Macaca mulatta: one gene and its partners. The protein of the gene in region 2 interacts with the protein of the main gene of each other region in a pairwise test. Links are inferred from orthologs where the notes say so. Each region holds a gene or a part of one and is shown on either strand. Other genes may lie near its edges.

Region 1 (3,556 bases), on a different chromosome or scaffold from region 2:
TGACCACTGAAATTCAGTACATCTGAGAGCTCACCCCTCCTGCCCTGTGCGGTGTTTTTACTTGAGTGAGCACACAGGTCCCAGGGTGGTGCAGAGGTGTTTATTTTCATTTTGTAGTCGGCCTTCATACAAGGTGGGGGCTGGGAAGGGAAGAACAATCCAGGCCATTACCCTCATGAATTCATTTGACAAATATTTATTAAGCATCTACTGCAAACTTGGCCCTGTGTTAGAAGCTGAAGACACAATTCCAGAGGCAGGCGATGACTGCCCTTGGCGTTTCCAGTGGTCAGGGGTTGGTGAGGAGGGGCAGAGACACCAATCCAAGAGTCCCCACAGTTTATACATACCACAGGCGTGGAAAGCGCCAGGAGGGGAATGAACAGGATGTTTACCAGCACCTCCACGGGCAGCCACAGTCATGGGGGCCAGGACAGGGTCCCCAGAGGAAGTGAGATTCGGCTGAGCTAGGAAGACGTTTCCACAGGAACTTACAGTAAGGGTTGCAAGGACAGCCTGTCCTCCCCGCCCCCGCCCCACCACCTCACTAAACTCCCACTGCGGCAATCAGCATTTCCTAAGCCTGCCAGGAAGCTTCCAGTAACCGCTTCCTGACTCCTAGCATGACACACTTCGGGCTTTCCGAGGTTGATGATCTAAGACCCTTACACAGCGCCAGACACGTGCAGACAGGGAGGCAGGATGTGCCTCTCCAGACAGGAATCTGGATGCCACCTGGGCTCTTCCCCTCAGCCTCCACAGGGGAAGAACATTCTTGTGGGGGTTTTCCCTTTCAAATGTCTCAGGGCGATCCCAGTGTTCCCGCTAGTTCTTCCCTTCCCAGGCCAGAACACAAATCCTTCCCCCTCCCTGCCTGGCAAACACCTTCTTACCCTCAGGCCCAAGGCAATGGCCCACCTCCTCCCAGGCTGGATGGGGTCTCCTCCTCTCTGTTCCCCCAGCCCCTGAGCTTCCTGAGGACCAAGCTTGTGGCTTCTTGTCCTTATTCTCCCTCCTTGGTGTCTCTATGTTAGAGGACCGTCAGCATCTGCTGGGGCCTGGTCGCATTCACCCTGCTCTGCCACTCACTAGCTGTGTGACCCTGGACAAGTAACTTCTCTGGACCTGCAGTTTCTCCTCTCTACGATGAGAATATGGGAGAGTCCTTATCTTATGGGTTGTTGCAGAATGAAGTGATATCTCACACACAACACACTTCCTACGGTCCCTGTTGCACGCTCAAGTACTCAACATGCAACGGATACGTCATCAGTAACAACTCCACGGGTTTACTGTGATGCTGCACAATTATTAAGCCTTGACTGCCGCAGAGTTGTAACCTGTCTGCACTTCCAACCAGTTTTCCACGCAAGCAGCATTCCCAAGTCCCGCTTTCACCCGCGCGCTAACGGCTCAGGTTCGAGTACACGACAGGAGGGAGGGAAGCTGTGCATACGGCGGGGGCGCACGGCGTGGGCACCCGGTACACCGTGTCCTCCCGGTACACCGTGTCCTCCCGGTACACCGTGTCCTGCCGCTGCACCCAGGTCCTTCCGCCCCGAGGCGTCCCCGGGGCGCACGTGGGCGGGCTTCAGGGAACTGACCTCCCGCGGTCCGTGTGCAGGCCGGGTGCGCCCGGCCCGGTGCGCGCAGCCGGGTGTTTAGCTGGGAGCCGCGAGTGACTCAGCGCGGGGCGTGTGCAGGCAGCGCCCGGCCGGGGCGGGGCTTTTGCACTCGTTCCGGCTCTTTTCAGCTATAAACACTGCTCGCAGCGCTCCGCTCCACCACGCCTCCTCCAAGTCCCAGCGAGCCCGCGTGCAACCTGTCCCGACTCCAGCCGCCTCTTCAACTCGCCATGGATCCCAACTGCTCTTGCGTCGCCGGTAAGGGGCTGGGGATGCCAAGTATAGACTGTAGCGCTAGAGAAGCAATTTCTGACCCCTCTTTCTTTCTCTGATCACTCAATTTCAGGACAGGAGTTGCTCCTTCCCAAAGCGTTTTAGGGTATTTTTCAATCCATTCTAGGTTATTCGGAGCCCTCCTTTTACCGTTAAGGAGATCTGAGTTAATGGCTTGCTCAAGTTCCCAGGAATCGGTTGTGGACAGAGGAACTCTGCCCCGGGCTCTTAGCACGCCGTCCCACGTTCAGGTATCCAGGGACCGTTATCACCTCTGTCTTTTCTCCTTGCAGGTGACTCCTGCACCTGCGCCGGCTCCTGCAAGTGCAAAGAGTGCAAATGCACCTCCTGCAAGAAAAGTAAGTGGGATTCTCTCTTTCCTCTAACCCCTCACTGTCCTCCCAGCCTGTCCCCTCTCCACCATCCTCAGGGGAATGAAAGCAGTCTGGGGATGCCCCATTACGCGGAAGTTGTTGCCTCCTCAGTGATCCTTATCAGGGAAAGCAGGAATCCTTATTCCCTGTGTCCCTAGTACTCATCTCTGCCGCCTCCTCTCTGCCTCCAGGCTGCTGCTCCTGCTGCCCTGTGGGCTGTGCCAAGTGTGCCCAGGGCTGCATCTGCAAAGGGGCGTCGGACAAGTGCAACTGCTGCGCCTGATGCTGGGACAGCCCTGCTCCCAGATGTAAATAATGCGACCTCTACAAACCTGGATTTTTTTATGTACAACCCTGATCGTTTGCTGCATTCCTTTTTCTATGAAATAATATGAATGATAATAAAACAGCTTTGACGTGATTCTGCCTCTGGTTTCCTTTATATGCCTTAAAAATAATGGACTGGGTTGAGCGATGGAACTGAGAGGGCTCTACCTGGGCTGTGGATGGAAATGTGAGCCGCTAAGAAAGAGTGCATTCTAGCAAGCCAGGCTACCGCACTGAACTTCATCTTCTGTAAAACTGAATGGCGTTGAGCCAGATCGTATGGGGGCAGGAGGGACACATACGTGATCACTTTCAGTTTCATGTCAAATATGGCACAGAAACTTCTCCATTCCTCATTTTCACTTTCTGATTTCCCTGCCCAACTTCAGTTCTTCGTGGGATTTTAGACTTGAAAGTGACTGCAGAGGGTGAAATCCAGCTCCCCAGTGGCTAGAATCTGACATCCGGTTTCCCAAACTCCCTGTGGTGAATGACCAGTTTTGTTTTCCATTAGTCACAGACCTAAACTCTGGTAAAATAATGAGTTAATAAGAAAATGAATGCTTAAAGGACACAAAATACAAAGACCGTTTTTTAGATTCAACAGGAAATGTTCAACAAATATATGGAGAACAAATTAACATAGGAAAAATAAAAGAATGATCAACACTACACATTTGTCCAAAGTTGTGTGTTGCATCCTGGTAACAGTTCTCAGACTAGCCCCAGTGTGTGGCTGGCACACCCTGAGCAGCACTGATCCAGACATCCCCACAAGGAACCATCAGGCTTGTCCTGCCCAGTGTCACTGACAGGACACTTTCAGACCCCTGAGAGCTCCCCGTTTTGCCTTGGTTCTGAGTCTTTGTAAGTTCCTCCCAAGGTCAGGCTGAAATTACTTCTCTCAAATTTCAGCCGTTGGCTACTTAAACCAGCAAAGTGGCTGGGGATGTGGAG
Region 2 (5,155 bases):
TTCCCTACTCCAGTGATCATTCCACCCCTCTGCTACCTCCTCTGATTCCAGAGCCCCGCTGACCACCAAGTGTCTTAAAACAACAAAGAAAGAGTATTCTGACAAAGCAAATTGAGAGGGCCTGTCTCTCAGCTTTTCCTGGTCAGCAAGGCCTTTGACGAAGCTGGATCCTGCATTAGTGAGAAGGACTTTCACCATGCTTCCCTTCAGTGTCCCTTGAAAACAGCTAGTTTCCACGCCAAGGGCTAGTTTCCCAGTCTGCCTATGTTACAGAATTTTCCCTTTTGTGAAATAAAACCTCCCGAACAGGAATAAATACATAAATATGTCCTTTTGGGCTCAGGGCTTGTTATTCTCACTTGTTAAGATAATCACAAAGATGAAAATGCAAGATCTAGGTGTCCAAAATCCAGTGGCCTAAAAGAGTTAACAATGATCACAGTGGACTCGGTATGAGAGAGTTAAGTGCAATTTGCATGTCTTGTACCAAAGAAGTGACATCTGCCTAGCTACATTTCTGCAAAAACATTTTGTGGGCCAAACAAAATACCTAAACAAAACATGTCCGTGGTATTCTGGTCCAAATCCTGACAGCTTGCATCCCTTATTTTAGATAAAGGAAAAACAATCATTTTTGTAGGCTTATTCCCCCTTAAAGCTACAGATATATGGAGCCTCTAAGAATTTGAAGATAAAGAACCTCTAGGCACACTTTATCTAAGAATCAAGCTGCACTAAGACTGTTAAGTATCTTAGAAGTCAGGTAGTATAGTAGTTTTCAATTATTTTTGGGGGGATGGGGAGTTCAGGGCCCTTTCTTCAAACATGATATTGTATGGCACTCCACTGCTTAAAATAGTCCAAGCTGAACTTTATGTTGTAAACTACCCCAAATGGTCCCTTTAACCCTAATAGCGACTCCTGACTTGCCTCTATAGAACCTCTGTGCTCTGGGGACAGCAGTTTGAGAATCCACCATCTTACTGGATTCTCACAATTGACAGACAGGAATTGTAGGTTCTGTGATGGGATGGAACCAGTCCAAGCTGTCAGAGCAGGTGACTCTACCCTGTCTGATTGTGAAACAGTCAGTTTTTTTTCCCCACCTGCTGTTCTGGGTGGGGATAATTATAAATTATAGCTTATAGAGATGTAAGCTGGATCCTGGAAAGTAGAAAGGTTTGTAGTAGAGAGCACTGGCTCCAGATCTCATTTTCTTCTTATGAGGTACTCACAAGCTCTCAGTACACAAGTGACATTCATTCCCATAGGTGATGTAGTCAGAACCACAAACTGGCAGGTATGTGATGGGACAGGGGATGGCCACCACTGGATACTTCTTGTAAATGCTGCAGTCCACCTGTGTCATACACAAGCAAATGTCCTGTTTTTCTCCAAGACCGCAAGCTAGGCTACTCTGTCCACTATTAGATATACTACAAGGGCTGGAAGTCCCAGCTCAGATAATCAGATGTTGCTTGGCCACTTCTGTAAGTACTAGTGTTATCACTATTACAAATACTAGCACTATTGGTATTCTATGTTTTTCTACTACACTCAGTTAAAATTGCTGGGCGTTTCTGGGCTAGGCATCAAACTTAAATCTTATGTGAATTTTCTTGTTTAATCTTCAGAACAACTAGAGCAAATTCTACTATTACCTCTCTTTACAAATGTGGAAATTAAAGCTTAGAAATAGAGATAACTTTTTGAAGATAAATGCTGGTAAGTAGTAGAGTTAGTATTTGAACCCAGAGTCTGTGCAATTTATCAAAGTACTTTTTCCCTGCCTTTTACACGTGATGCCTTTTATGAAAACATTGCCAACCTTTCAGCTGGAAGGCAATTCTCCCTCCTTTAACTCTGGAATTTTTAAAAAACATTTTTAAAATATGGTTGTTTATATGTATGCCATATTTCTTCAATTGCCTTCTGGAAAGCAGATACCATTTCTCCACGTGTGTTTGCCTCCTTCTCAAATCCCCTGAAACATACTGAATTTATCCTACATATATGTTGACTAAATGACAGTCAATTGTTATTGACATTAAAATGTTATTCAACATACTTACTTTTTTTGAAGACAGACTAGCAGCTTCTGAAAAAGAGATATAGATGAAAATGTTAAAAATAAAGCGAACTTTAAATCTCATTAATTAAGTTTCATCCTATATAATGACTCTACATTTCCTTTAGCAATGAGATTTAGCACACTCTCCACCCTTATGCAAAATCCTAGTTGTTTGCTGAGGAAGTTGAATGACCAGTGGGTTAGGTTAACCCTTGGTTTAGGCAAGAAAATTATCAAAATTTCCTCTCTTTGTTGATCACAGGATGTTTTCTGAACCTCATAGTGTTTTTGATAATGGCCAAAGTCAGGTAGTAATAAGAAGTATTAAAATAATCACTCCTAAGAGCCTGAAGGATCATTTCTGATATCCTTTCCTTCCCAATTGACATAAAGAAATGCAATGGAATGTCTTTATGGGATTGGAAACACTAATTAATTTTTCAAAGTATAAAAGTCTGATTGTTGACCCTTGGCTTTTTGAGACTTGTGTTTTATTTTAATCCCTCCAAACTGATTTGGGAAGACATCCAAGTTTTTCTGTATCTTTGCACTAAGAAATAGTATATCTAATAACACTGACAACTTCCAGTGTCCATATGAACATATGAAATGGAAGACTTATGGAGAAATTAGATGATTTTTGTTCTATGGATGCAAATAAGAATCCTTGAAAGACATTGGACTCAAGTCTCTCAAACTCCAGATGGAGCATAAGATCCTATTACAAACCAGTACACTTTAAATTCTTACAACCAGATGTTTCTGAGATGCTCACATCCCAGGAGGGATTATTTGTGAAAACAAGCTTAATGGCTATATAGGGCGTCGTCTGACCTTAACTTACCTGAGCTGCTACAGAAATAGAACACTGTGCAGAGCAGAAGGAGACCCCCAATGATCTTCATGCTGGAAATGGCTGTGGTGCAGAAGCTGCTCTGAGATTGTCACTACAGCTGCATCGACCATAGCCCAGGAAAGGGGTCATGTTTATATATATGCAAGGCTTGGTTTCTCCACCTTTCCTGTGAGGTCATCCAGAGGATCTCAAAGGAGGGTGCCACACCCTGGGCTGTGTTACAGTCCTTGTTACTGAATTGCTACTTCTTATCTGACCAATGATTTGATTATTTGAGGTAAGAAGTATTTTCTATCTTTCCCAAAGGTGGGACTGGTAAGAATTCTAAACTTCATGTACTAGAAGAGACTAAGTATGAGCTTCTTGGCTTAGTTATGAAATAAGTGAAAATCTCAAACCTCCTTTATTTTACAAAACTGGAATCTATTAAACCCAGATTAGACTGATTACACCTATGTTTATATCTTGGCACCTGGGGAAATATTGTTTATTTTTGAGGCAATGAACCAATGAAGCAAACTGGGACCAAATGGAAGGAACACTGACATTAGCATTTATGAAGTATGGAGAAAAGCACTAACATATTACTTCTGATATTTTCTACCTGTATAATCTTGGATAAGTCGTTATATGCCGTGAGCCTTTATCAATCCAGAAGGCTTGGTTATGTTGTGATAACATGTAGCCACAAGATTTCTGTTAATTAAAACAAAACTTTGCTTTTTACTCAAGCTACACTTGTATGGTAGTCAGCTGATCATGCTACATTTGCCTTCACTGTGAATGCCAAGTGGACAGAGTCATCACTATTTGGAATACTGTAGTCAAGGTGAAGTGAAGATGAATTCTCAAGGAGTTCTCATTTTAGCAATTAAAACTTCCAGCCCAGAGCAATACTACTGTCACTTCCCCTCATGGTCTTGTGGCCGTCACATGCTTTGTGATGTATGGAGTGAGTGCAATCAATCTGATATGGTTTAGCTGTGTCTCCAACCAAATCCCATCTTGAATTGTAGCTCCCATAATTCCCATATGTTGTAGGAGGGACCTGGTGGGAGATAATTGAATCATGGAGGTAGTTTCCCCCATACTGTTCTCATGGAAGTGAATAGTCTCACGAGATCTGATGATTTTATAAGGGGTTTCCCCTTGCACTTGACCCTCATTCTCTCTTGCCTGCTGCCAGGTAAGACATGCCATTCACTTTCTGCCATGATTGTGAGGCCTCTCCAGCCATGTGGAACTGTGAGCCCATTAAACCTCTTTTTCTTTATAAATTACCCAGTCTTGGGTATTTCTTTATCAGCAGCTTGAAAACAGACTAATACACAGTCTTACCTTGTCCTGACTTGTTCCCTGACCTGAAGGTCAGATGAAGAACTAGAATAGTTGACAAACAGCAGAGATCATCCCAGAGACTGAGTTTCATCCAAGTCCAATAGAGCCTCTTGTTAGCCACAGTAGAGTTCACCTAATTATATACATAAAAGTCTGCTCTAAAGCATAGTGCATTTAATAATAATATTGTGATTGTTATTATTATTGACAAACCAAGAGTTAATGCTATGAGTTGCTGACATTAGATTGTAAACTGAATTGTCCATGCAAAAGTGTCCAAATAGCTGCAGTTTGCTTATTGAGTTTAAGGACGTAGTATGAAGACCTGGGGGAAGGCAGTAGACTGTCTCACTAGTTTACTGCTTGGCAGGTTTATTTTAGTACATTCTAAAACTAGCAACTACAAGATATATTAAGTGAATAATAAATGATATTGCACAATCTCCTAATATTTTACTCCTATACTTGTTTGAGAGTCAATGTAATCTAGTAGTTAAGAGCATGGGCATTGAGTAGATCTCATTTAGAATCTTTCTTCCAAAAAAATGTTGACTGTGTGTCTTTTAGTATTTAGGTTAACATCTGATACTTTAGTGTCTTCATCTTTATGACAGAAACAATATTTACTTCATAGGTTGTTTTGAGTGTTAAATTAGATTTTACAGACACACACACACTCTCTCACACACACATTATACAGTTGACTCTTGAACAACATGGGGTCCAGGGGTGCTGACACCACCACAGTTGAAAATTAACATACAATTTTTGATTTCTCAACAATTTAGCTATTAATAGCCTACTTTTGACCTTATTAATAAGATAAACAGTTAATGAACACATATTTTGTATGTTACATGAATTATATACTGTATTCCTACAACAAAGTA
Region 3 (4,895 bases), on a different chromosome or scaffold from region 2:
TGGAGCTGGAGGAGGCTGTGCTCAAGTTCCGCCAGCAGCCTAGCTCCATCAGGTGCCCCGGGCTTCCGGGGCTGTGGGTCACCCACCATGGTCTCATGAAGGCCCCTGGGCTGCAGCCAGGCTGGGAGCTGGGAGTGTACCCACTGCCAACAAGCCTGTGTGTCCCACAGAGGGGCCGGGGGACTTGCACACACCTGAGCTTCTGAGTCCCTGACTCTAACACGGAACCCAACTCAAGACCGGGCTCCTGGGTGGCCCACCATGGCCCTCGGGCCTGTGCCCCTCACTGCTGTGTCCCTATTGCCTTCTGCAGCTTCAAGTCCATTGAGAAGAAGATGACAGACATGTTAAAAGAGGAAGAAGAGAGGCTCCAGCTCGCGCAGAGCAACATGACCAAGGGCCAGAAGCTGCTGCTAACCATCCAGACGGGCATCGACAACCTCTATGTCCGGCTAATGGGCATCACCTTGCCTGCAACCCAGGTACCGGGAGTGAGGCGGAGCTGCCACACATGGGGTCCCTGGGCAGGGCCAGAGGGGAGATGAGACCCTCCTCCCGGCCTACAGAAAGAAGAAGTGCCCTCCGACACCCTCGATTTGAACAGCAAGCTGGCGTACTGCGAGGGGAAGCTCACATACCTGGCTGACAGAGTGCAGACGATGTCCAGGACCGAGGAGGTAGCCCCGGGCTGGGAGGAACCTGCACAGCCCACATCCCCTCAAAGCTGACAGCCCCCCGTTCACAGTGTCTGCACGGCTGAAGGGGGCTTTGCCCTGCAGGGTGACACAAAGGTGAGGAATGCCCTGGAGTCCTCGACTCTGAAGGAGAAGTACAACACCAGGATCAGCTTTGAGGACCGCGAGGAGGATATGATCGGTACAGGCTCCGGAGCTGGGGCTCGGGCTGCAGGCGGGTGGAACAGAGGTGGGGGTGGCGCTGACTCCCATCCCACCGGGATATCCTGGAGGCACAGCGGGGCTACAGGGTGCATCAGTTGTACCTGCAGGACTTCAATTGATGGAGGTGACTTAGTGATGCCATGGGGAGGCTAAAGCCACTGAAATACCTTATTAATTTCTCCGAAAGGAGGAGGCATGACATGCCAGACAGGCCCGCAGGAGAGGCACCAGGGCTGGAGCAGGGAGGAGGGCGGGGAAGGCCTGGGCCAGAGCCTCCACTGGGGTTTCCGCGAGAAAGGCTAAGCAGGGCAGTGTGAGCCGCTGAGGATGGGCTGGGCTGAGTCCTCCCGGCACACTGGGGCTGTCCCTGGGGCAAGGCACCTGGCTTGGGTCTGTAGAGGGCGGGGGTGATAGGCGGGTCGGGCGGCTGTGCCTGGGTGGGCTAGCCCCGGGTGCGAGCCGCTGCCTCCGCCCGCAGACACCTTCCAGTTCGCCGACGTGGACCACAGCTACGTCCCTTCGCGCGCCGAGATCAAGAAGCAGGCGCAGCGGCTGATCGAGGCGAAGCTCAAGGCGGCCAAGAAGAAGAAGAAGTAGCCCCGCCGCCCCGCTCCCTGCTTTGTTACACAAATAAACATTTTTCCAGGACTGCTGCGGACGCTGGGGCGACCGGGCTCTCGGAGAGGAGCACCGGGCACGCAGGATTCTCGGAGAAGTTCTAAGCGGGGAGGCGGCCCGGGCCGGGAACTGCGCGCCAGAACGGCCTGCGCATGCGCCGGCCGCGGGCGCCGCGCCCCATGGCCCTCGCGACGCCCTGTAGCCGCGCGCCCCTCGCGTCCCGCCGAGCCGGCGCCAAGATGGCGGCGCTGACGCCTGGAGAGTGGCCGCGCCGGAGGCCGCGGGGGCCCGAGCGGAGCAGCAGCCGCTGAGGTTCCCGAGTCACCGCTCGAGGCTGCGCCCCGGTCTCTGACCGCGCCGGCTCCGGCCTCCGGGGGGACCGGGGCCGCCGGGACATGGTGCGAGTCGCACCCCTTCCCCGCCGCCGCTGAGCTCGCCGGCCGCGCCCGGGCTGGGACGTCCAAGCGGGAAGATGTTTTCCGCCCTGAAGAAGCTAGTGGGGTCGGAGCAGGCCCCGGGCCGGGACAAGAACATCCCCGCCGGGCTGCAGTCCATGAACCAGGCGTTGCAGAGGCGCTTCGCCAAGGGGGTGCAGTACAACAGTGAGTGCGGCGGGCCGGGGTGGGCGCGGGAGCGCCGCGCGGGTCTCCGAGCCCAGGCCCTGCCCGGAGCGCCGCGCGGTGGTGGCTGTCGGTCTCGCCTGCTTGCCGGTTGTGGGGTGCGCTGGACCCGCCGGGCGCTCCGGGAGCTGGGGCGCGGGCCAGGGGACGCTAGGAGAGGCCGGGCCGGGGCTGGGTCCTCGCATCACCGGAGCCGGGGGTCGTTTCCCAACCGCGTTCGCCTGCCGCGTGTCGCTCCCGCCGCGCTGTGCAGTGGAGCGGGTCGGCGGTGCCGGGATTGGCCCGGCTGCCGGCCCGGCGGTGATTACATAACGCCAAGCAGGGCCCGCCGACCCGGGGCGCCGCGTCCCCGACGCTCCACGGTGGCCAGCCCCGGGCACCTCTCACCTGGAGGAGGTGCGGGGAAACCTGCCGGCCTTGGCGCTTTCAACGGGATTTTTCTTTGTTGACTTCCTACTGAGTTCGAAGGCAGAATATTAGCTACGCCACACATTCTCGTCTTTTTGTTTGTTTTTTTTTAAAGAAGCATTTGTAAGGGACGTATCTAGAAAAGCTCCAGAAGGCACGGACTGACTTGCGATTGTAGGAGACAGCCCATTCCTCCTGAGGAGGAGTCATTTACGGACTCCTGAGCGCCTGGGACGCTCCATTCCTTTGTTATAAATTATGTAAATTGTCCTCGACCTCTTTTGAGTTTTTCCGTTTTGCAGGCTCTTTCCCAGTAGTTTTTAAACGGTTTTATGTCGTTCCCTGCTTTGGCATTGTTTCCCTCTTAGCCATTTCCGTATGTTTCTATCAGATATTAGGACGCTACGCCTGTCCAGTTTTTTGGTCACCTTAAGGGGAGCCTTATAGTCTGCGCGATGTTTCTATGGTAATATACGATTTTAAGAACTAATAATCAGAAAGACTCTTGTGCAGGTTTAAAAACAAGTTCATGAATTCGCCTGCCGTGTCCACGGAGATGGGCCGTAGTTCTTGGCCGTAGGGACTGGACTGGAGCTAGTCCAGGAGGACAGTGAAGATGTCGCCTTCCTTAGTCCCGGCCACCGTCTGGCCTGTGAGCAAGAGGAAGCTGCAGACCACTTGGGCCGCCCTCACCCTGACACCTTCAGCAGTAAGCAAGATAAAACAACTTCTTAAAGATAAGTCTGAGCATCTAGGTATGAAAGTTGGTGTCCGGGCCGGGCATGGTGGCTCATGCCTGTAATCCCAGCACTTTGGGAGGCCGAGGCGGGCGGATCACGAGGTCAGGAGTTCGAGACTAGCTTAGCCAACATAGTGAAACCCCGTCTCTACTAAAGATACAAAAAAAAAAAAAAATTAAAAAAAAAAGTTCGTGTCCGAACCAGGGGCCGTATTGGCCTTTCTTATACTCTAGAGCATACGAAGACAAAGGACATTTTGATGAAGTTCAAATTGGAGTCAGAGTGCTCATCGGAAAGAAGGCGCAGCTAACACGTTTAGGAACAGAAATGGATTATGTTGAAGACAAATTATCCATTGTGTTTGTGTTCAGTAACCCAAGTATCAAAGGAACTTGTGGCTGGGGAGAAGGCTTGACTATTTGCAATCTCAGGATTCCTCTGGCCGGAGCTCCCGGACTCCTGTGGAAGCCTGGGGGCTCGCTGAAGAAGTCACGTGACTGGAACCTGCTTAGTGCTCTGCTGTCTGGTAAGGAAAATAAAGCGGTACATTTTGAATAAAAATAAAAGCTCATTTTAAATGTGTTATAATTGAAACTTTATGTATATCTGGCATTCGGAGAAGAGAATATTGAGTTAAAATACTGAGTTTATGCAAGTCTTTAGACTCTGCATTTGGATCCTTTATTTAATTTTATTGCTTATAATATTGGCTAAGCTCAGTATTAGTCCCTGGGAAATTAGGCCTGGACCTGGAAACTGTTCACCTTCTGAAAAGGCTCCCCAAGGGTCCTGGGTGAGGTCCACCTTACGCACCAGGACCACCCCTGCGAGTGTGACTAAAAAGGGCAATAGGGTCCTTCCAGAGGAGAAAAGCCAGTCTCCAGTACTTGGAGGACAGGTTATGATCTCCTAGAACTGAATGAAAGGTGGTGAGACTGAGAGAAATTCGGATTTGTACCTAAATTACATTTTAGAAAGATGTCGTCTTTATAGTTGAATAATATGTAGTTTTTTAACTTTTGAGTTTCTGTGTTAAAATAGAAAGTGTCTAGTATTTATTTTCTTATCTCTTTTTTTTTTTTTGAGACGGAGTCTCGCTCTGTCGCCCAGGCTGGAGTGCAGTGGTGTGATCTCGGCTCACTGCAAGCTCCACCTCCCGGGTTCATGCCATTCTCCTGCCCCAACCTCCCGAGTAGCTGGGACTACAGGCGCCGCCACCTTGCCCGGCTAATTTTTTGTATTTTTAGTAGAGACAGGGTTTCACTGTGTTAGCCAGGATGGTCTTGATTTCCTGACCTCGTGATCCTCCTGCCTCGGCCTCCCAAAGTGCTGGGATTATAGGCGTGAGCCACCGCGCCTGGCCTTCTAATATTTATTTTCTCAAATATTTTACAGAGGGTAACAGACCAGCAGTGTGACCAAGACAGAGATGAGGGTTTTTAGGGATGAGAGTTTCCAGGAACTGCTGCTGGTTTCCAGGAGTCTGGGCCCTCCTCCTGGGCCCTGCGTTTGCTCAGAGTCACTAGCGGCCCGGCAGAGGCCCAGGACACCCATCGGTTTTAGAATGAAAACTCGAATGAGACATTGGGCTATAGTTGATTAAAAAAAAA

What was found. The genes of interacting proteins can lie anywhere in the genome.
Region 1: the proteins of SPINK7 (region 2) and MT2A interact in binary tests that used the Homo sapiens proteins (3 or more experiments, as listed by UniProt). The link is inferred for Macaca mulatta from reciprocal best matches to the Homo sapiens genes SPINK7 and MT2A.
Region 3: the proteins of SPINK7 (region 2) and RABL6 interact in binary tests that used the Homo sapiens proteins (3 or more experiments, as listed by UniProt). The link is inferred for Macaca mulatta from reciprocal best matches to the Homo sapiens genes SPINK7 and RABL6.

What each region holds. Positions count from the first base shown.
Region 1 is NC_133425.1:52,179,000-52,182,555, forward strand, and holds MT2A (metallothionein-2), read left to right. Parts: upstream 1-1,793; 5' UTR 1,794-1,855; coding exon 1,856-1,883; intron 1,884-2,191; coding exon 2,192-2,257; intron 2,258-2,463; coding exon 2,464-2,555; 3' UTR 2,556-2,693; downstream 2,694-3,556. UniProt on the Homo sapiens protein: Metallothioneins have a high content of cysteine residues that bind various heavy metals; these proteins are transcriptionally regulated by both heavy metals and glucocorticoids.
Region 2 is NC_133411.1:157,292,430-157,297,584, reverse strand, and holds the start of SPINK7 (serine protease inhibitor Kazal-type 7), read right to left. Parts: upstream 3,055-5,155; 5' UTR 2,977-3,054; coding exon 2,916-2,976; intron 2,099-2,915; coding exon 2,073-2,098; intron 1,361-2,072; coding exon 1,236-1,360; intron 1-1,235. UniProt on the Homo sapiens protein: Probable serine protease inhibitor.
Region 3 is NC_133420.1:5,658,903-5,663,797, reverse strand, and holds the start of RABL6 (rab-like protein 6), read left to right. Parts: upstream 1-1,732; 5' UTR 1,733-1,989; coding exon 1,990-2,119; intron 2,120-3,161; exon of another isoform or gene 3,162-3,330; intron 3,331-3,473; exon of another isoform or gene 3,474-3,851; intron 3,852-4,895. Other genes in the region: CCDC183 (coiled-coil domain-containing protein 183), read left to right, coding at 1-52, 314-482, 567-677, 780-876, 1,378-1,496. UniProt on the Homo sapiens protein: May enhance cellular proliferation. May reduce growth inhibitory activity of CDKN2A.